2 linked regions of the Drosophila melanogaster genome follow. The protein of the gene in region 2 interacts with the protein of the main gene of each other region in a pairwise test. Each region holds a gene or a part of one and is shown on either strand. Other genes may lie near its edges.

Region 1 (11,913 bases), on a different chromosome or scaffold from region 2:
TAAATCATATAGTTAAAATGGTAAGACTATTATAGTTTCGGCTTCAGCTATTGAGTTAATGGCTTTCGTCTCAAAATACTACCAATCTCCACTCTCACGGTAGTCGTCTATTGCTCCTTAGGGATCAGCATTTAGCTGAAATCTGATAGCATTTTCTGCTTTCTGCTGGTGTCATGCTGGAAACGACACCCAAAAGTGTGGGCATTAAACGAAAGTTTATCTTTTTTTTTTTTTTGCTTCCGATGCAATTGCAGTAAATTGCCAGCACAAAAAGAGGAGTTGTTAGAGGAAACAGAGCCCTTCCCAATGGCGCACTGAACGGCTTTTCGGGACCATCTTGGAGCAATTGATTACTACGGGCAACTGCATGGGCGTGGCATGTGGCATACTGCTACTTAGAGCGCATTAGCAACAATCAGCCGAAGGAAAAACAAGCTGATTGCATTGAGTGCGAAAATTGCTGCTGAACTGAAGTTAACGGCAAATATACCCAAATGACAAAATCATGTTAAAAGCGATATCCACAGCCAAGTTCTTAGACTTATTATTATTATTACTGGCATGGGGAATGAAAAGACGTACCTAAATGATTAAAATAAGATATTCAGGTACGAAAAAAAAAAGCCCATGTTCAATTGTATATGTAACTAACAAATCTTACACCTTTCCACCCAAGAAACTCTTCAACTCGAATAAAAATATTCTTTTTCGCCGTTAATCAAATAAATGAGTACTTAATAAATATCATTACATTTTTATTACATTCTCGCCGCAAAGAAAATAAAATTGATGTTGGTCCATGGAAAGATACATAAATTTAATAAATCGTTTAGCAGTTTTTGGACAGTTCAGGTGATATATACAAGTGGATCTAGACTGGTTGGGTATTCCGTTTCTTTAGAAGGAATAAACCTCGTTATATATTTCTATTTATATTCTTGACATTTAAAAACATTTAAAGCTGTTCTTAATAAAAACATATACTTAAGAAAAGTTCAGAAAAGTCATTTACACTAGTTTTTCGTACACACAATGGTTGCTAATCCCGACCAACTCCCTGTGAATCGATCATGCGGCGCTATTGAAACCTTTGCCAATCTCCGCTAATCAAAGCTACCCTATATTGCCTCCCACAAGGACAAATCAATTCGTGCAGGCAACAGCGTCCTGGGAAAGAAAAATCCCACCAAATGGCGTTTCCATTGCTATTTTCTGGGCTCCAACTGGCGAGTTATGGCCGCTATTTCCGTTCGGTTTTCACAACTCAACGCGCCGACTTGTTCGCTTTTCCTTTTGCACCTCTAGGTGGTCCAAAGTCCAAGGACTGGGCCAAATCGGTTAGCACAGCTTCCAGCGGATTTCAATTTTATCGCCGCCAATTTACTGCCGCCGTACTGTGTTTTGCGTTTTGCCGCTGTTTTTGTGTTGGGCTGGCCCATTCACATTTTTAGCCTTGGCAAAGAAGGCCGTCGCTGTTGCACATTTTTCTCGCCACATTTTCCTTTGTGCTGCCCTCGGTGATTTACCTTTGGATGATTAGTACTGTGCTATCGAGCTTTACTACCACTGATATGGCAGCGATTTACAACATTCGGCCTATACAAATTTCAGTTCTTCGAGGGGTCTGAAATACAGATATAAAATATTGAGAGTCCTCTAACGAAACATGTTATAAACATATACATTTGCAATAGAGTTAATAGTAATATTTATCTTAAGTAATGCTGATGCCGTAAATAGTAATCATACTACAAATTAAGGGACTTTTCAAGATTTAAGAGTTCTTCCCATATATTTACTTCGATAATGAGGTCTCAAGCATATGCTAAAAATAATACGTTGCAACTACAAAAGCTCTTATATAAAGGAAAAGTTAGTGCTGAAGATGTGTAGAAATGGTGACATCTATTGCTCTCCATGCTTCTGATAAGCGTTTACAGTGGAATCAAAGCTAAAGGAGCAGATTCGCTTTAAAAAGTATTGATTCGTACAAAATATGTCGAAATATTTATGGTAATTAAATAAACAAAGCAAAAGATATGTATATATAATTCGAAAAGCGAGCTATGCTTTACAAATAAATTAACATGCCTAATTGCTGAACGTATTTTTACCTGTGGATGATTGACCCAAAATCTTTACAAAATATTTACAACATTTTAGTATCATAGAAATGAATAAAAAACCGCTTTTTAAAAATATTTATTTTATTTACTAGCTTGGGATGCCCAAATTTGATAATGAACAATTTGGGCCCACTGTAGCTACCAGCCGAGTGCAGCAAATGCATAAATTAAACTGAGTTGAGCTTGAAGTTTGGCCAACTACAAGTGCGTATGCGTATGCGAGTGTGTGTGTGTGTCGGCGCGGGTGTTGGTGTTAGTGTGCGAGCGTGCATGTGGACCATTATCGATACCGAAGGACATTATCGCCATACATGCACCAGCAGACAAAAAGGGGCAAGTTTGGCGGGGGACGAGGGCATGGGCATGGGCATGCATAAAACATGTTTTGGTCGGTTGGCTGCAAATTGAATCAATAATATCCAATCATGGGTTAACAATGCGAATTGATTTCTAGCAGCCATGCAGGAGAACCACCTTCCATTTCAGACTCGGAGCACCATCACCATCGCCACTGGATTTCAGGAGCGGGGAGGAACCAGGAAGAGCGACGACTGCACATATGCAAACATGACAAGATAAGGCCACAACATCAGCTTTCACTGAGCCTTTAGCTTACTTCCTCTGGCGAAGGAGGACCCATGTAAATATTAATTAAGTTTTGGCTTTTGTTGCATTAGGCTTCGGTTTTTGCAGCAAGCCCTGAGGCAGCCAGTTAAAGGGCTCCCAGGTGCCGGCATCTATCATTGTATTAGCTGCAGCATTCGGTGGTTAGTTCGTTAGTTGTCCTTTGTACTGCGTCGTCGTCTTGGCTTAATCAAGTTAGCCGTACATGGCCTTTGTGTGTACCGGACCATTTAATTAGTTCAAAGAGTCGTGTTTGATTTGACACTAATTCGGTGTATACTTCATTCAATGGACAATATTTGCCCAAATGTGAGCTCATCGCATCGAAGTAAGCTGCTTGCAGTCCATTAATTTTCATTTGATCAGAGATCTCGTTTTCAATTGCAGGCTAAAATCGTAATGGTCCCGAAAATTTATCTCAGCTGGGAAATTAAATTTTGTACAATTTGTAAAACTTTTCCAAATGGTGTCGCCAACTGCCGCGAACCGAGCACAGCCAAACTTTTACCATTTCCATTATAAGTTTTACTTGATGCACCCACCGCAAGCCCAACCAACCGCCCACCCACAGAAGGAGCAACCTCAATCCCAGCTTATGCGTTTATTTAATTTCGCTCCAACATTACGCATACGCCCGAGTGTTCACTGAGCTTCTATAATTGCCGCGTAATTGCCGAGAAGAATATCTGTCAGCTACAACGACAACTTTAAACTGTGAGTGTTGCTGCACTGAACCAATCGATGAGGGAAGTTTAACAAAACCTTAAAAATTTCAAAATTACATACGTTTCATAAAAACTCTTCGATAGTATTGGGAGCCCTCAGATTATTCATAAGGTCCGACATTAAAAAATAACACGACCATTTGTTTGTTTTCTATTTACGTAACTCGAATTGATAAAACATATTTATATTTTTCATTTTGACGACTTTTGAAGTACGATCGTGTAATTTAAGACAGTGAAGCAACATGACCATCATTCCAAAACAAAGGACGTGGAAAACGGGCAGCCAGTTGCGCTTTTGTGTTGTGTTACCAAAATGAATTTAGATGTGGAGGATACAAGCAGGATGTGGTGACCCATCATTGGCTTAAATAATCTCTTCGCCAAATATTACCTCATTCACACCGTCGACGAAGATCATGACCAGTCCGAGGATGGGGCGCAGATTCTCCGGCATGTGGGTGTTTTCGCCGCCCAGAACAACCACGCACGGTTTGCCAATGACCAGACCGGGCACCAATCGGGTGACATACCGACTCATGAGATGTTGGTTCTCGCGGCGATCGTCCAACGTCATCAGACCTTCGGGCCAGCGATCCTCGTGGCAACGTTCAACCAGCATATTGAGCATATGCATCGGACAGCCGCTTTCACGCAAAACGTCGCGCACCATCAGGTGCATGGGATTGTCCGGCGTGGAGATCAGACTGCCCCACGTATGGATGTTGGCCAGAGGGAGTCCATGGCCCCACTGCATCAGTGAGAAGCGGTCCAGTTGTTCGCCAATGTTGCGCAGCATGGGATTGGTCGATCGCAGTGCTGCGATATAGTACTGGAACAGCTCCATCTCTCGGCGCTGGCTGGAGCTCTGCTCCTCCATATCGGATTGCTTCTGCTTCAGATCGGAAACCTCCTTCGCCAGTTTCTCCACCAGCTCGCGCAGTTCGAACACACAGTTGTGGCGCGACATCTCGTCCTTGGGTACCTTTAGCGGGAATATTATAGCTATCTTAAGCAGTTCAAGTTATTCCCAGAATGTTCACCTTCATTCCGCACCCCTTGCTGCACTCGACAACCACCTTGGGATTATGCTCGCAGGCGGCGACATGGGTCCGGAACTCCTCGAGGGCCAGCATTTGGGCACAACCGCTTTGCGAGAAGGTGCACTTGATCTTTAGGCGGGATAGCATGTTGCGCATTAGGCGCGAAACGGGCACCAGATGTGAGGTCAGTAGCCCGGAGCGGTCCACCGGGCAAATCTGTTTCTGGATCATCCACTTGTCGATGCAGGCGCGACAGAAGGCGTGCTCGCATTCCGATGACTGGACCGGCTCCTCCAGGACATCTGTGCAAATTGGACAGATGAGCTCCTCGTCAACGTGGCCCACAATGCAGTTTAGATCAAAGCCCATGACGAAATGGTTTGATTTCTATACCGAAGTTTATGTCGCTGGAGAATCTGAGATGTTATTTTTTTTTGGCATGGAGCCACTCTCATCCACTTACCACTGAGTTCGATATGTACTTATACCTATATCCGAAACTCGATTTTTACAATATTTCGATCAAAAAGTTAGTTTTTACGTCGGCGCTGAGTTGTGTCCGAGCTGGCATCTGATTAAAAGCCAACTATGTGTATAGTTATGCATAGTTATATAAATAGTATATATAGTTTATTTTTGTAAATAAAAATCCTTTTCTTAAGCTAAGAAATACTAGGCCTTTCGATCATCTGTTATGCAAACAGCTCTCATTGAGCCTTCTACCATTTAGGACACTTCAATTTCAATTCAAGCGCAACTGAAACCAGCCAAACAACCAACAGAACACTGGGAGTCATCCATCCAAGTGGGCCAAGAGCAAGTGGGGTGGGGGCGAATGGGTCTGAGAAAACGTTTTCTTGAGGCACTTGCATATAGTGCGGTCGTAAAACCCTTTGCATATTTATAGTCCCAACTGCTGCGGAAGTTATGCAAATTGGAAAACTTATGGTACGACAACCCGGAATAATGCCAAACGTCCAGCCAACCTTCGGCGACCACGTTTTAACTTAGCCTGCACAGAGAAGCGATGCGAAGCGAAGCGAGGAGTTGAATTTTATTTATAAAGTGAAATTTTAACAAATTAACAGCAAATGCTGGGACATGGGCAAACAAATAAACTTTCCATCTTCAGCTCCACAATGGCCGAATTTCGAACAAACACTCATCAGACGACACACAGGCATGATTGTGACAACATATTGCCATGTCAAAATATTTACACTATATCAACTGCTCTATGCAAACTCGAATGTATATACATACGTGTGTATAATAGAATGGGCATTGTGTGACTGGAAATTCGGTTTTTAATTTCACTTGGAAGCGTCATTCGCTTGGATATTAAATTTCATGTTTTGCCTAAGAATGACATTTGCTTTTGTGTGCCTTTTTGTGCATTTTGTTTGTGACAACTTTACTGCATCGAATCCTTTTCGTTGGATTGCAATTTCAGTCTAGTGCTACCAAATGCTTATCTCCGAATGCAACTGTCAGTCTGACATTTTAGTTTACTTTAAATTCCTGCTCAAGCCTTTTCAGTTTGCCATAATATTCAAGACTCATTCTTTCATTTCGTTTTTATCTTGAAAAACAGTAATCGAAATGCTTGAATTGATGAGTTGAATAAATCACAATTGATATGCGATTCCCCACTCCGGCTGGTGTGAAATATTCTTTAATAAATCGCATTTTGTGCAAAATAATTAAGTCCGTGTGGGGTGTGGTGTTCGTTTTATCAATCCATTGGCTTTGCGACGTTCAATAGCAATATTTCACATTTCTGAGCTGATGGAGCGCATTAGAAAATAATCAACAATTTTCATTTGACTTGGCTCCGATAAAACCCATCATCCAGCAAACACAAAACGAACCACTCAAGCAGGAAAATTTAATAAGTTTGTACGTAAGCATATACACAGCTCGCCACAAAAATGTTTTTCCAACTGATCTGACCGCATTTGTGAAAATCAGCATTGATGATTCGAAGGCTCCTAGAGGATGCACACACTCTGATGAAAGATTTGGATAATAGCTTATGATGTTTTATATATTATAGAAGTGCCTTTTTTTTTGTTAATAAAATATATATGTACATTTGAGTGCTGTTTTTTTTAAGTGCAAGAAGATCATGTTTGGTTTTTCCGAGTGTATTTATGTACGAAACCCAACTAATAAGGTTAGCAACGTGTAAACAGTCATTACGTGAGTGGCTCTGTGTTAGCATGTAACGAGCCACAAATGCTTGCCACACAATGTTTATTTGCATTTATATTTGCTGTTCTTGCGCCGTTGTCATTTCATTGCAACATCAGTACGTGCCTCATTGTCCCCAAGTCCTTAGCATCCTGATGCCACATTCCCTCTACTCTGCAGATAGATAATCATTAATGACGGACTCGAAGTAGCATTCTGCTCACATGTTTCCCGCTTCGCCTTAAGTTCCAAAATTGTTGATTGGCAGTGTAATTATGTTCTAAACATATTTACCTTATTCTTGAAGTATAATTTATTGGATGAGTTAGGTTATATGAATTGTAAGTAGGTAAATCAATTATACTAATCACTAAAGATGGGGCGTTGAGAAGAGGTGAAGCTGCAAAGCGGCTTAAATATACGTTATCCACTGAAGAATTTTGATAAATTTTCACCTCTACACTAGCAGTCATGTTAACCCTGACTCCCTGACTTCTTGCCCTGGACATTAGGATCCATTTCTGGAGCAACAAGCAAATTGCCATCCGTGTTTCGACCGCCGAAAGATACAAAAAATTACCATGAATTACCGTAATTCAGCTCGTGGTGCCCCAAAGCCATGTCCATTACATGGAAATGGGACATGTCACAGGACATCGTCGCCGGCAGGACAACCCAAGTGCGTTGCTTCAAATCTCCTGGTCCTTCTATGGTCAAGCGGTCACGTTCGCATCGTATGACCGGAACGTGCAATTTTTCCTGCTGGACGAAGGAGGTGGCGGATTTTCCGGGGGAGGAGGAAGCGCAATAAGCACAAGTTTTATGCAATAAAATTAGCCCACACTCAGCACGCGCAGGACACGCAGGATGCTTCAGTGGCTGATAAGATAATTTTATTTGGATGTTATTGCATAAAGTCATGTGAGGAGCGGAAATGAGTGGAACTAAAGTAAAGCGACTACGTGCACCGGAATTCCGGATGAGATGGGGTAGAAACTTGGCTGGGCAAATTAATAACGTAGTTTGAAAATGGTTGGGTGAAAGCAAAGGGAAAAGTGAATAAATAAGTTTCTTTTTAATTTAACTAAACAGAGTTTTGTACGGCATGTGTTGAAATTTATTGTAATAGTTATAGTAATGCAGAAATGTAGATAAATATCTAAATATAATCTATATCTCCCCCACTGGACTTTCGTTTCTTTCGCACTCTTACCTAAATCTCATTGCCATCATCATTATTCCAGGCCCAAGGAATTAGGGCACAAATTAGGCAAAAAAGCCGAAAACATCGTGGACTTGGCTCTGACTTCATTGCTCGCTCAAGCGTTACTAAATCGCTTATACAAGCCTGCCAATGGCAATGGCCTTTTCACTTGTGAAGAACTTCATAGAGCCCAACTTATAAACATTATATTTACAATTAAATGTAAATTAAAGAGCTAGAATAAAGGACATTGCTTATTACTAAAGAAGTCCTTTAAGGCTTGCTTGCTACCTTAATAGCATTAATGCCTTCTCGGTCTTGACATTTTTAATATAATTATTCACATATTCGTTTGGAAATATACTTTTAAATCATTTAAAAAATGTATGTAAATTTTTGAACTGTTAATAATATAAAAATATAATAATTAGGCCATTAAAATATCCTATGAAAATATTTATAAATAATTTTACAATGATTTTATACACAAAAGAGCATCTAAGCCACAATCATAATGCTTCAAAATGTTGGCTGCGAACGTTTTGCCGGAATTTAACAACTGACCGCACACACAAAAATATTTTTTTGCCACACCCGAGGCGACAACAAAAATGCGGAACGATGGAGCCCGTGGAGCACCAACCACAACATGGGGCACGTTGGCGGAGAGAGGAAACGATGGCGAAGGCGAGGTAAAGGCCTCGAGTGCCGCAAGAGCACTTAATACTAATTAGCTTTGCGCCTACGCCGTGACCTACGACCTGGGCGCTGGAACGGCATTTCCGGAAACGGAAACGAGTCTGGGGAGCAGATAGAGGGCATTGGCAATCTGTGGCGCGCTTAAGTGGCCGCCGCACGCAGGAACACGGTAATATTTGGAGGCTTTTGGGGCGTGGAGGCGGGTTAACAGCTTGAGGGCGTCATTTTTATGAGCTAATTAAGTTGTTAGACTTGATGAAAAACTCATTTCGTCGCAGGTCCATATCTAATTTGCATTAATTACGACCTGGCGACAACAAAATGCAAGAAATGCGAACCAAATTATTGGGGTTATTTTTACGGCACAAATCAAACCAGTTTTAGCCAGGAAACATTCCTACTTGAAAACTAACCATATAATTGGCTGGCAATTTGCGTTTATTGGCAAGTGCAGAAATAAATAATGACAATTGAAACGAGCAACTTTCTGACCGGATTCCTACTTCGGACTTTTGCGTGCAACACTTGCAACAATTCGAGTCACTTTTGCCCGCACTGCGAAGCTCAAATTTGCACATAGTTTATAATTTTCTTAACAACTTTGCTGCATTCAGCCAATTGAAATGAGAGTACACAACTTTTTAATGGCCAACGGCTCGAGGAACTTGGCCAACACACTTTCCAGTTGGCCTGGCCAAAAAACTTTTCGAATTATTGGCGAATGGCTAAGCGCTTTCTGTGGGTGAACTGTCCTGGAATGTCTGCGACATTATTTCGCAGCCCTTTTCAGTCAAGGTCACTGCAATCAGACTTCCGAATTAATCGGAAAAGTTTTCGGCTCAACCAAAAAACTTGAAGCCCAATAAATATTAAGTGGTCAAAGTCTTAAAAGTTTCATGAAACACGAAATATACAACAAAACATTCTATGCAGCTAAGTGCAATCATGTTGTTTTAAGCCTTTATTTATATTTTAACTACCACATTTAAAATGTCCATGAAATCAGTGGTATTTATTATTTTCGAAACCAGTGCCACAATCCATTTAATGGACTTCTAAACCTCAATGGCCCACTCTATTAAAACACAGCCATTCCAAATCAAGCCCGATTTTTCCATGCCAAAATTGAAGCCCAAAAAAACCGAAATCAGGCCAAATTAAGTGCTCCCTGGGGTCCAATCAGCTGGAGCTCTCCAACTGTTGGACATTTTGATGTATAGTCATCAAAATTGCGGCCTGTCGCCCAAAAGCACAGCAAGTCATCACAATAAATGCCAATTTATTTTCGCTCTTTTTGAGTTTCTTTTTTTATACAACACAAGCAAAAAAGGACTCGGCATCGGCAGGCAAATCGAACAATGATTAATCATTGCTTCGAAGGACATAATTATTTCGTCAGTTTGCTAATAAAATCGTTGACGGAAAAGAAACTCGCCCGCGGCCATAATGATTATGTAATGAATATGTTGGTCTCGAAAACTTTTGCAAAAGTTCTCTGCGGCGGAGGAGGGTAGCAAAAGTGTTACCTTATTGGACGCTGGTGTCGCCTTCGTGATAAATTATGTTAATAACGTTGAGTAGGCAACTTGGTTGAAAGTTGAAAGAGCTGCGAAAGTTTTTCCTCGCTCATCCTTCGTCAGGAATCAGGCCACGTTCCACTGCCGCACTTATTATTATATTATTATGCTGCTGCCCCGTTCGACCGTTTTTCGACCATAATATTGTGTGCATATCATATTGAGTGGGTCGCCCTAAGTAGTTGGCCACATCCCCCCTCCGCCCCAACCCCCTTGACAGGATACTTTATTAATTCACTTAGCAAAGTGTAATCCTATCACGTCAATAAGATTATGGTTTCCAGAATCTTTAATATTTTTCCTCCCGCTTGTAGCAGACACATGCGGCACTTGTTGTTGCTGTTTATGGAAATCAGAACCCTCGACTTGGCTTTAGCTTTGGCTTTTTCGCAGTTGGCAGTTGGCGCCATGCATAACAATGACTTACTTCTTACTTCTGGCCAGGGAATCGACGAAGTCCTTCCGCTCGACAAAGTCGTCCTTATCGACAAACGTGAAGTTGGCCGGGCGCTTTTAATATGTGGCAACGTTTATTCTTATTTAACTAGATTGTGTTGTGGGCGCCTTTGTTGGCACTTTGGATTTCGGTGTTTGCTTTTATGATTATTAAAATGTTACACATGTTTGCCATTCTCGATGGTTGCTGGACGTCTGTCAACAGATATGCAGATGAAAAAATTGCCCTAATAAAATAGAGAACAATATATTTAGGAAGTACTAGATTGATATATGAGCATAGAATCATTAAATACCATATAAATAAAGCTTGTACTATTTGACAATTTTATGCAATATGTTGCCTGATGGCAAACATGCTCACTTATTGTGATGGGGAAAACATAATCGGTCCGGAGATCTGCCGAGATTTTGTCGAACAAATTGTTAGCAATCCGCTGGCTTCTCAAGACGACGACGTACTCCCTATTGGAGAATCGTTAAGACAACAATGCCAGTACATGGAGCAGAAACCAAAAGCAATTACGCAGTCTTGTTGACCAGAAACGTTGACTAGAAAAACACAAAAGCAGCCAAGGACGAGATAGGATACGGCAGGAGTTGGAGGAGTTGGATGTGGGTGCACAGAGAGCAAAAACATGTACATGTCCGGTGCAATAAACATTCATTACGAATGGGCCAAAGTGCCACAAACAGAGAAGGATACGGACACCAAGTCCAAGTCCACAAGTAGTGGGTGTGGGTGGCTTCCAAGGACCTTAGTTCTTATTATGGCCCAGCTGCCATTCGAAAGCAGACGGCCGGGAAATCAAAGCAGGATTCGTACACACACACGCACACACATGCGCAGCGGCACATCCTGTAGGGAAGGACATGTTGCAGAGAAATACGTTACGCCGGAATTGAACAATAAAATAAATGATATTTGCCCAAGTAGCTGGGCTCCGTTTTTAAATTCAATAAAATTTTATGAAAATGCTGCGATTAAGTTGTATATGCGTGAACTGGCACATATGTGTTAAAGGATCAGGGGCATAAAAAGGGTCAAGACATGTCGGAATGAGATTGACTTTTATGACAACGGTCCGTGATCGAAGCGAAAAACTATATAATCAGCAACCGGAATGCAACAGCTGCTGCAACAATCCGAGAAAAACGGCATCAATTTTTCCGCTTCACCCTTCGCTTTAGCCAACCCACTCGAAAAACTCAGCGAATGGAACAAGGCGTGCTGGAAAAATTGCTGCTCATTTAAATTCGCACAAA
Region 2 (11,614 bases):
CCGCCAACGAACCAATTGTGGGGTTGTCAACAAAAACAACGACCAGATAGACGCGACAATAACTCGTCATCATCGACGCGCCGGCTATTTTCGCATCTAATTGTGAGAACAGCGGCGTTTGGCGCGCCAATTGGTGGCAATGGCAATAATAGCGGCGCCCAGTGGCGCACACTTGGCCCGTTCGCAAATCAAAGTTCTGCGTATCCGCATCCGCTGAGTCCTGGTCCTGCCCAGAACTGCGGCACTGTCTGCTCCGCTCCACGGCAGAGCCAGAGTCCTGTCCTCCTGCCTGTCGTCGTGCCATTGTCGCCGTCGCCGAAGAAGCAACGACGGGCGACTGGTCGCCACAATCGTCTGTCTAAGTCTAGCCTTTGGATGCACTCGGAGAAATTGGGGAGGTTATGCGAAATCGACATATTTTAGGCGTGCAAGGATATTAGTTGAGGAACTTATTATAATTTATTATATATAAATAAACGTAATTTTGCTTAATATTTTTTTGTGAATTTAAAGAATAAATGCATAACAGCTTAATGAATAATTTATTTTATTTTATTATATCAAAATTTTCCTGCAAAACCTAATAACTTAAGAGCTCATTCGAATTGCAGAGTAAAAATTAACCCTGAAGTCACATTATTTCTCCAAGTGTACCGCATGCTCTCTGCCAGTGTGGGGTGGGATCGGGAGAGTGGGCTTCGCATCCCTTCGCGCTGGGCGGACTGCTGCCGACAAGTTGTCGTCTTGGTGACCGTCGCCAGTGGTTGGCGTCGCCGACTCAGAAATTTGCAACAATTCCCGAGCGCGCCGCCGCCACTTGTTACGCACTTTGGCGCCTCCGCACAACAAAATGTCCCTTACGGACAGGCAACTGCCGACACTTCGACGCTTGATTCTGCGCCAAAAACAAAAACAGACAGACACAAAACACGTTCGCCATTAATGATGCACCCCCCCCCCCCCCCGGCACAATTGTTTATAGAAATCAAATGATTAATATATTATTATAGAAGAAAAACCGTTTAATAGCACAAGCGTAAACACCAATTGGAAGCAAATCAATAAATTTGAAGGAAAGCTAAAAAAATCCATAAATAAAATATCATTGAAATGGACAACTAATGTGTTTTTATCAGACTGCTTACTAAACTAAATATCATCTTTTTCAAAACCCCCCCAAAAAAATAAGGTGTTTTAGTTTCGGTGTGTTCTGTGAAATGGTATTTTTTATTTATTATACTCTCGGAAATTATATCAATTTAAAAAAATTTACTTTTGAATCAGCGAACATATTTATAGGAAAAGGTTTGAAGTGTTTGTATGTGATAAATACAAATTAAACTACAATTATTGTATATGTGTTTGCAATCTTAGACAGCTATCGTATTTTGACTCTTGTTTGCTAAAAAAAAGCATAGTTTTAAAGTATTTGCAAGACGTTTGCAGTCGAGTAGAATTTTTTTCAGATACAAAACATGAATTTCAATAAAAAAAATGAATTAAACAACATTGAATGATGGTGTAGATACAATTAAAAACGAAATAAAATTAAAATGCTCCACAACGGATTTTTACAACAAATATCTATCCGTTGCGTTACAGAAGTTTTGTGAAAATTGCTGTTTTCTAATTTCAAATTTGTATTTGTGTGTTAAACTAATTCTTTCCGATCATCGGAACTTCGTTTATGTTTAAAAGTCAAAATGTATCACAATTTTGATCATTTTGTTATAATAAATACGGCTGCACCTGTCACAATGCTAATTATTTAGTACACATTTATGCTGAATGTCTCGACTATATTTAATGGGTCTTGCACAAATTTGATTCAATGAAACCCAAAAGGTAGTATAGTAAAATTTCATTAAACCGATATTTACAAATACCAGAAAATAAGCAGATACTTAAGGATGCACATTTAAATGAGTATGCATGGATCGCGCATTAAATCGGTGCTTTTAAATTTTAAAACGTATTTATGATATTCCTTTTACAATCGTGATTACAAGATATAGGAGAGCCCAGTTGTTAATTCGATGACAAAAAAAAAAAAAGAATAATTTGTGGGGTGAATTATTCTTTATAAATCTCTACAGAAAATGCCGGAAAAGTACTCCTTATCGAATATAAAATGATATAAGTATGTACAATGAGCAAAACCTACCATTCGATATTATATTTATAAAACATGATTTCCTCTCTCTACCTTTCTTGTACAGTGCACACAATTTTGGATAAAAGAACGTTTCTAACAAACTATTATCAAAATTTATTGACAGTCGAGTACTTTCTCAATTTCAGTATGAGATTTTTATACCCTGTATCAATATTTTTGTGTAGTATGCGTAAATGTAAAAACGATCGTACATATGTAAGTTTTGGATACATATTCTATACAAACATATGCGTAATTGAGTAAAGCAAAGTGAACTCGGCTATATAATTTCACAATTATTTGAAACGCTTCAATCAAGTTAAATGAAAATCCGTCAAAGCAACCTAATCAATTTGATGCCTGGCTTCAGTTATTAATGCTAAGAGTGCATCCAGTTTAAGATCTTTAAACCGTTCAAAGTGGTCCATAAGTGGCTGAATTGCATCCGACTCAATGGCTGCCGAGATGGTCTGGTTTTGAATAGTGCGATTGAGGCAGGATGCAACCTGTGCCAGAAATTCTCGCCACTTTTGCCTGTTCTCCTCGCTAAGAGTTGCGTCAGTTCGCGAGACGTAGATTTCCTCGGCGCGAAGTATCAGGGCAACCAGCGAAAGGATTCCAAACTGCCAATTTAATAATTAGTACGCGTATCTATTACTTAATACTGAGGATAACTTACGCGACTGCAAAAAATTCCAGCAAGTTTCTTGTCATTCAGCGTAATAGCAGATGAAATGCTCACTAGGAGTTCGAAAGTAGCTTTGTTAACGTGTTTTTTAAACTCTGGGTAAAGAGCGTACAAGACGCCTTCAACGTCGTCCTTGTCCTTTTTCACCACTGTTTGTAGGGAACAGAAGACGCCGCTCCACACGACCCAGCGAATGCTTTGATCCGCAATAAAGGGCATTATGCGTCTAATAAGTATCTGCAAAGGAAAGATTGATTTAAATAAAATAGTGAGTTTCATGCGTATAGCACTAGAACATAAATCGAATTCTATTTGGTTGCACTTGTTAAAATTAGTATAAGAAAAAGTACACACCTTTCCCTTGCGCACATTCATCATGGCGATAACCTTGTCGAAGGCCAGACCTGCCTTTAATTTATTGACCAACGCAGCTTTCGTCTCTACCTCATAGTTGAACTTGTTCTTTAGTTGCGGATTCATGGTTTGCGGATTGGCGGCTTCAGCAGCACGTTCTTCGGGCGTTTTATTGGCCATTTCCAGCTGCTCAAGGGCTGCGATCCGTTCGGCTTCCTTTTTCTTTTTCAGCTCAATGGTGGCCATCACTTCTGGGCTTTCCAAATCCTCCAACTTCAGCAGATAGCGATACAGTGTTTCAATCAGAAGCAAAATGTGTCGCGACTTCCGCATGCTACTGGGATTTACATCATGGCTCGCGGAGGTGGGCAGCGGAGTCGAGCTTTTTGATGAAGAAGTTGCGTTGGCTTCAGCAGCGGCATTTGATTCACCACTCATAATGTCAGCATCGATAATTTTTCGCGGAGCTGTCACACTTCCGTACTGTAGCTTTCCCAGTGAGTTCTCGAACTTCAGTGGTGAGAATATATAGCCTGTCAGGTTGTTGTTGTTACCACCTGATCCATTGTTCGTGTTGCCTGACGTGCTGTTGGTGTTCTCCGAGTTGCGTCGCTCACGTCCGTGTCCATTGCGAGTACCATTCTTGTTGCCCAACTGTACGAGAATAAGCTGCGCATGGCCGCGTGGCTGAGTAAGCGGATGATTCAACTGGTTGTCCTTGTGCGCCTGACTGTTGCGCATTTGCCCGTTCTGTTGGGCCTTGCGCTCCCTGAACACCGTGTAGTAATAGTCGTCGATATACGGCGTGTCCGTATTCAGCTGCGAAAGCTGGATTCCGATTAGCCAGTGCTTGTCGCGCGTGCTCATTAGGTTGGCATATTCATCGTACTCTTCCAGCGGGTAATTTCCTGTACCATCTGGACGTCGTCCTTGTTGCTGCTGTTGCGCCTGCGATCTCTGACGATCGCTGGCCACGGATCCTGCTCTGCTCTGTTGCATTTGGCGTACAACAGCAGCCTGTTGAAGCAGCGGATGGTTTTGCTGGATCTCTTGCACTAGTCGCATGTTGAACATGTTATACATGGAATTCGGTGGCTGCTGACCTAATAGACTTGTGGCAGCTTGCAGCGGGTGCGGCGGCATTCGCGGTGGCAGCATCTGGTGCGGATGGGGAGGTTGCATAAAAGCCCCTGGATGGATTCCAGCGGCGCGCATCGCATTGAAGCTTGGATGCATCGCGAAATTGTTCAGGGCCGTGGGCAGAGCTTGTGGATTGGGTAGAGGTCGCTGGTTGCCGCCGGGCAGTGGAAAGTTGTGCGGCATGTGCTGCTGCATTAGAGGATGCTGGGGCAATTGCGGAATATTCCCGGGCAGACCTTGCGGGTAAATAAATCCGGGCGGCACTCGGTTGCCACCAATACCGTTTAGTTGTTGCTGCGACGATGGCGTGGGCAGTAGCTCGGGTCCGGGGAAACCCAAATTTGGCCTCGGTGGAGAGGTGTGCGGCGTGCCCAAGAAGCCAGGGGGTACTGCAATGAATTGTTAAATGGTGTTATTTTCATATGTCGCAGAAATCTATCAGGGACTTGAAGTTTGTTCCTTAAATGGTTAAATCTGTCTTAAAAATTGTCCCCAAAAATAGATTCGTAAGAAATAAATATTTTTAGGAATTATACTTTTTGTTGGACATGTTTTCTTTTTAAATACTGAGGCCTGTTTTTGTATGCATCAATACTTTTTAGTTTTAATATATAATTACCCTTGTGCTGCGCTTGTTGTGGCGGCTGCTGCTGCGACTGTTGTTTCTGATGATGCTGCTGCTGCAACATCTGTTGCTGCAACATGGTTGGTGTAGGCACCTGCTGCCTGTTACCCAGACTAAAATCATCAAACATTTTGCGTTCCGCCTGTTGCTGGCTCTGCTGCTGTTGTTTCGGAATGGCCTGCTGAATGATCATATTGCGCTCTATATCCTCGAGAGTTGTAATTTTTGGAAAAGGCTGTGGATTCAGTGCAAAGTTGGCATTCGCTTCCTGCGGTGGCTTCATTTGTTGTGGTTGGTGCTGCTGATGTTGCTGCTGCTGTGGCTTGAAGGCGCTGCGCATAGGCTCGCGGAACAAATGTTGGTTGTTGGGAAACGGCTGTGATCCCCAGACCCCGGAGTCCAGCTTAATGCGGTTGCTCAGCCCACCGGCTTCGCTATCAGTGGTGAAAGAGGACAGGTCCATGTCGTCCAACTTCATGGAGGAAATGTTTAGCTCCAAGTCCGAGTCCCCTATGTGACGAGACTGTCGGAAGGGGGCATTCAAAGGGGCCGGAGTGGAGCCGCTTGAAGAGGGCGCCGATGATAGCGGATTAGCGTGTCGCAGGAAGGCACCATTTCCCTGATCGGCAAAATCCGTATTTCCACTAGATTCCGCGGGTCGCTTCCGCACCCTTTCGCCATTCCCGCCCAGGCGTACCATCGTCTCATGGGCTTCCTCCCAGTCGCCATTTATAGCGGATCCAAAGGTTTCGTCATTGAGGGCATCGTATTCCGCCTCGACGATGCGTCCATCGCCACCATCTTCGTCCTGGAGAAACAATTGAAGCAAGTAAATTAGACATTCCTACTTTTTCTGCCCCCGGTGGCCTTCGATGCCCCCTTATTTGCCGAGTGAAAAGTGTGCGTTGGGCATTTGCCGACCCCTGTGCGGCCCGCTATCCCGGATATTGCAGCCGCAATGTCGGGACCGCTGCTTACCGGTAGATTCGTGTCAAAGCCGAAAAACGAGTCATCCATGGCGATAAATCTATTGCTTTACAAAAAATTATCATGACTTGTCAGTGACAAGTTGTCACCTCAGCAGTATAGCTGTCAAAATATCGATGGTACTATCGATAGTCTGACGTCGATGGTTTTCTGACTATCGCCACAATACATCAATTTCGCTCGCATATAAATATTATCATATTACAAATGTTGGAATTAACATGCAAATTTAAAATATATATTTTTTTCATACGTTTTTTTTCAATAGGTGAACGACTGAAGATTTGTCTAAATTTATAAGTTTGCATTTTGCTACAGTGATGTTAGAAAAAAATGATGATTTAACCACTGCCAAATTTCGTATGTTGCATATTTATTTATTCAGTTTGGGACTTACCACGACTGGTTAATAAGTCAACAACATTAGATTTTACTGATCAATGAAAAATCTGCCCTAATTAAGGTGCATTTGCACTCCTTCAATGTATTCGATATTTTGAACTAGTTCGAAACTTGAAATCAGCGCCCGCAAGCTCATCCCTAAATTACTAGTTCTTGAACTATTGCTTTGGACGGAACTACGAGCCTGTTTCCTTTTCCAAAACAACTTAGTCGAAATGAAGCGGAAAACGAGCGAGATCTGGTGCTTTTTCCGGGCGGTGGACGACACGTTTGCGGTGTGTAATATCTGCAAGGCGAAGCTCTCTTACAAGACGACCACCACGAATCTAAGCAAGCACATGAACAGGATGCACCCCACATCGGGACTCAACCGGAACTCCAAGTACAAATTCCAGCCGCAGACCACCATCGCCATCGACCGGAACAAAGCCAAGCCGCGCAACTCAACGCAAGAGCTGATATTGTTAGAATTCGTGAAGAAACATCCGCGTCTGCTTCAGAATCCGACGTGGGAAACACGGGGCAATCTGGAGTCGCTGTGGGAGGAACTGTCATCCGAACTTAATAGCCACGGTCCGCCGCGAAAAGATATAGCCACCTGGAGAAGGGTATTCTAACTTACTTTTTTTCTAACCGCTTGCATTATAAGTTGATTTGTTTGTAGGCCTTAAAGGACTGGAAGAGGTTTATCCTGAGAAAGGTGGAAAAGAATGAGATGCAGAACATGCCTTTTGGCACCAGTCTTACTTCGTCGGAGGAAACAATAGCCACACTGTGTAGATTAAACGAGGATGTAAGTCAGATTATTATGAAGGTCTCCGACGATGAAATGCATGAGAATTCCACCACGGAATTTGATGTGGACGAAGTAGAGGATGTGGTCCCGGAAGAAGATGGTGGCGCCCTTCAGACTTCCGCCGAGTACGTTTACGAACCGGAGGAGAACAAAACGGACATTGACCCGCTTTACCTGCAATCTAACAAACGGGCCGCATTGGCCAGCAGTCGACTGGCGGAGGAGGAGACCACACTGCTTGACAAGATTAGCAATAACCTAGAAATGGTGCACGATACCGCCAACAGCGTTCAACTTGCACTCAATGAATTTTTTGTCCTGTACAAGCAGAAGCTGTACGAGGACAAGCGACATCACTTGGCAATTGAACAGTTAATGGCTGAGAAAATAGAACTGAAAAAGAAACTATTGGAAATCGAGCAAAAAAAGCTGTCGCTCAAATAACGGGATATGCACAAAATTAAGTAATATCTTGGTAGTCTTAATAACCTAATCTTTAAATAATCTAAGTTATTCAATATTTTGATTAATTTTATCACATTTCTTTTAGCTTGGCCCAAGCCCACTTAATATACAAATTTAATTTAATTTTTTTGGTTTTATTTTATAAATATTTAGATAATATGGCGTTGTTCATCATAGACTTGCTTTAGAATCTCTTTAAATTCCAGGGGATAAGATGCGTCGTCCATAACAGCATCGTAAACATACTCTAAATTCTGTGGGAAAGATGGTTGAATAAAAAAACAAAGCAAAGTATTAGGCACATCACTTACTGATTTGGATTCATCTGAGGAGGAAGTCTTGCCCTCTTCGGGATCACTCAACCCATTTAAGTCTCCACAGGCTATAAAAGGAACTAGACGACGGTTTACTTCCGACCCTGTTTTCTGTGCCAGTAGCCGTATATCATCGCGAGCAGGGTTAATCACTTGAGGAATGTAGCCCTCGGGAAGGCAAAAATCGGAGCAAACCACAAAAGCTTCAATGCTCGAAGGACGCGAACTCGGTGGCTTGTAGATGTCGAATTTTTTGAAAAATATCTGCATCTGGGAGCTCAATAGCGATGTGGCATTTCCCTTAAAAATCTTGGCCACAAAAGTTCCGCCAGTTTCCAGCACACAGGTGGCAATGCTGAGAGCAGCCACAAGTAACTGGTGCTGCATGTACTCGTCCATTTCATGGACCCCGGTGACATCGGGGGCTCCATCGCAGACCACCAGCTGGGCTTTTTCATTTCCACCAAAGTGACCGATGATTGCTTCGGCGGTCGACTGCTTTGTGATATCTCCCTGGAGCTGGAGTATTCCACGGATCGGGGCCATGGCCTGCAGATCAACGGCTATGATCTTAACAGCGGACTTTTCATCGTCCGTTTCGCAGGTATCGTAGAGTTTCCGAGAGAGCACCTGGGACCAGCTGCCAGGAGCAGCACACAGATCGACTGCCCGCTGAACACCTATATATGGAAAAGTGTGTTATATTTTGTTCCTAAGTAGTTTCAATGATCTAACCATTTAGAATTCCGTAGGCTTCGTCCACGTGGAGCAACTTGAAGGCACTCCTGGCCCTCCAGCCTTCGTCTTTGGCTTGTCGGTAATAGATATCTCGTTTGTCCTTTGATGTTTTCCCCATTGTAAATAAATATATGAAATATCAGGGATGCTCTACAATATAACTGTTCTTTTTGAGATACGTGAACAGTAAAAAGAATGGTTAAAATATGGTGTCATGTGCAGAAACTAGCCAAAGAGTAAGAGATTGTAGTTGTTATTTATGTTTTGTAAGTTAGACGATTGGCCAGCCTATCGATATATCGACAAAGAAGGGATGCGAGCGAGTGGTTCGTCAGTTCCAACTGGTTCCTTTTCAGCATAGTGGCTCCGCGGCGAACGGAGGCTTTACGAAGAAAACATAAGCACAAAGCAATAATGCTGGGAGCCCAAGGTTCGGTTGGGCTCTATGTTCAATTGTTTCAAAATAAGAAAATAAAATGGATTCATTATATAAAAATTTATTTAAAAATTTTAATTTGAATTTTTCCATCGATAGGATAAATTGCTGGTAATAAAGGTGTAAAAAATGAGTGCATAATAAAAGTAACATATTTTGGTTATCTCGAAATGTACAGAATAAAGATATTCAGTTGATTTGGACCAAAGACACCGGAATATTCTACTTATTATTTATTATTATTATATTTTATCTATTATATAATATTTTATAAGCCGATAACTAAATTGGATTGCTTACTTCTGGTAACACTAAAATATTATATCAAATAGTTGTCGATTTTTGTGGCGGCGCAATGCGGTCACATTCTTACCGCGAGATCTTCAAAACACGCTTTGATGAGGTTTTTTCAAAATTAAGTGGTAATTATGCACCGAATACCATTGTATATGGGGTCGGAGCCTCGCCCCGAGGCCTCTGAATATATCACGATGTCCGAGGCCATGTGTCCACGTAACCTGATGTGAGTAACAGGCCCACTTGTCCTGAGATCCCGCAGGTTTTGCAATATTGCGAAATCCTAGTTGTCCTGCGATAGGATCCTGCAATGCTCATAGATAGATAATTATAGAATAATAATAATTTACAATTTCAGAGAATGCGAGCTGTTCTTGAAGATTCTGCGCAAAACAACCGACAAAGTTTTTCTCGATTTTTCTGAAGTTGCTGAAGGTTGCCTTAACATTTCCAAGAAGTGTATGAATATGAAAAGTCCTACAGTGTTGAAGATGGTATATCCACATTATTGATATGATATATAACCCTATTGTAATCCAGAACACAGACTTTGCAGAGTCTGGACGAAATTATATGCCGCGCACCCAGCGCCTCCCCTACATGCGTGGATGCGATTATGGCCAGAAGTGTGCTCTACATAAAAAATAACCAGAATACGGTATGTCATCTTCACAGCTGAATACACATCTACATCATATGTTCACAACCCTTTTTTTTTGCTCTAGACCGCATGCAATGATTTACTATATTACGAGTCTTTGGATCCAGCTCTCAAGACAGCGGAGGGAACGATAATCTCGCAGATACTTCACTGTATATGCCTTTTTGTGAATCGGGAGTATGAAGCATCGAAAGATAAACTTTCAGTTGTAAAAGGCCTCATTGGTAATTTGCATAATATGTTGTAATGATCTTCTATAAATCGCTGTTTTTCTTTCATTTTAGAAGATGGGACACTAGCCGATCGAAGTGGTGAGTATTACTAGCGTTGTTTTGAATTTTCTTTTTAATTTTAATTATTTTATTATATTTTCTAGAAGTTAGTCCTTTTCTAGCTCTTATAGAGCAACATGAAGAGAGAATCAACCAAGCTAGAATAAATGTTGAGTTTTGCAAGAAAGTTCAAACCGAGAACTTTGTGCCTTTTAAGGGTTTTAAGCTTACTCGGAAAATTCCGTTTGCCAGCCAAGCTTGTGATTATTCGTACGTAAAGAATGTTTGATGTACAATACATTTAGTAAATTCATATGTTCCCTTATAGCGAAAAATCCATTGAGAAATCTGGCGGAGTTTTCGCTTCATGCGATGTGCCTAAAGGAGAAATTGTTCTTGTGGAGAATCCTGTGTACTTTCAGTTTAGTGCTCCATTTCTGAACTGCGAGTTGTGTGGAGTGCATCAGCAACAGCTATACACCTGTGATAACTGTCGTTATAGATCCTATTGCTCAAAATCGTGTATGAAATCAGATGCAGAAGTCCACCAGTACGAGTGCTATGGATATAAAATTGGACTCATCCCAATGCTTGAGGCTAACATGCTGTTTCGGTTGTTTTGCGAAGCAGGGGAATATATTCTTCCGGCTATAGTAGATTATGCGATGGATGGCGGGTAACTAACGAGTAGATTTTAAACACATGCTTATATATCAAAATTGACTTTCTTTTCCCCATTTCAGAATATTAAGCAATCCCCGAGATGCTTGGACCTTTATACTGGAGCATGCCCAGGAAGAGGAGAAAACTTATAATCTTGTTGGAGAACTCCTTGCTACGGCGCCAGATTATAACCTGCTGACAAGGGAAAAGTATACAGAAATCGTAACCACGGCATTTCGTTTGTCGGTTTTTATTTACAATGACACGCGCCTCGCAGAGAAATATTTTTATTTGCTGGCTCTTGTGAAAACAGACTTAATTACTGTAATGGCAGCTATACTTTTACGTTTGGGTGGCCACGTTCTATTAAATTCCCAGCGAGATAACTTATGCTACAGACAACGTGAAGGTATTGATGCCATGAATGAAAATAATGATGAATTCGAAAATTGTGGTATTCTTCCGATGCCAACTGATCGTATAAGCGCAAATGTATTCAGTTACTATGGAGTTAATGCGATTACAGATTTCGTAGACTGTTATAACAACGTTCACGATAGTCTAGCAGAGATCGAACCTGAGTATCCAGAGAAGTTCTCAAATGATAGTCCGATATTTCGT

The links.
Region 1: the proteins of Trm7-32 (region 2) and CG9014 interact in a two-hybrid assay, tested with the Drosophila melanogaster proteins (one large-scale study listed by BioGRID).

What each region holds. Positions count from the first base shown.
Region 1 is NT_033779.5:13,718,551-13,730,463, forward strand, and holds CG9014 (uncharacterized protein), read right to left. Parts: upstream 5,093-11,913; 5' UTR 4,982-5,092; intron 4,935-4,981; exon of another isoform or gene 4,926-4,934; 5' UTR 4,888-4,925; coding exon 4,519-4,887; intron 4,461-4,518; coding exon 3,843-4,460; 3' UTR 3,611-3,842; downstream 1-3,610.
Region 2 is NT_033777.3:17,038,015-17,049,628, reverse strand, and holds Trm7-32 (tRNA methyltransferase 7-32), read right to left. Parts: upstream 8,948-11,614; 5' UTR 8,783-8,947; coding exon 8,662-8,782; intron 8,607-8,661; coding exon 7,924-8,606; intron 7,867-7,923; coding exon 7,762-7,866; 3' UTR 7,734-7,761; downstream 1-7,733. Other genes in the region: Patr-1 (protein associated with topo II related - 1), read right to left, coding at 2,500-2,778, 2,835-3,080, 3,198-4,726, 4,957-5,770, 5,941-5,979; bdwf (bedwarfed), read left to right, coding at 6,567-6,959, 7,016-7,591; CG18213 (uncharacterized protein), read left to right, coding at 9,529-9,623, 9,756-9,891, 9,945-10,055, 10,123-10,282, 10,343-10,369, 10,435-10,600, 10,659-11,006, 11,074-11,614.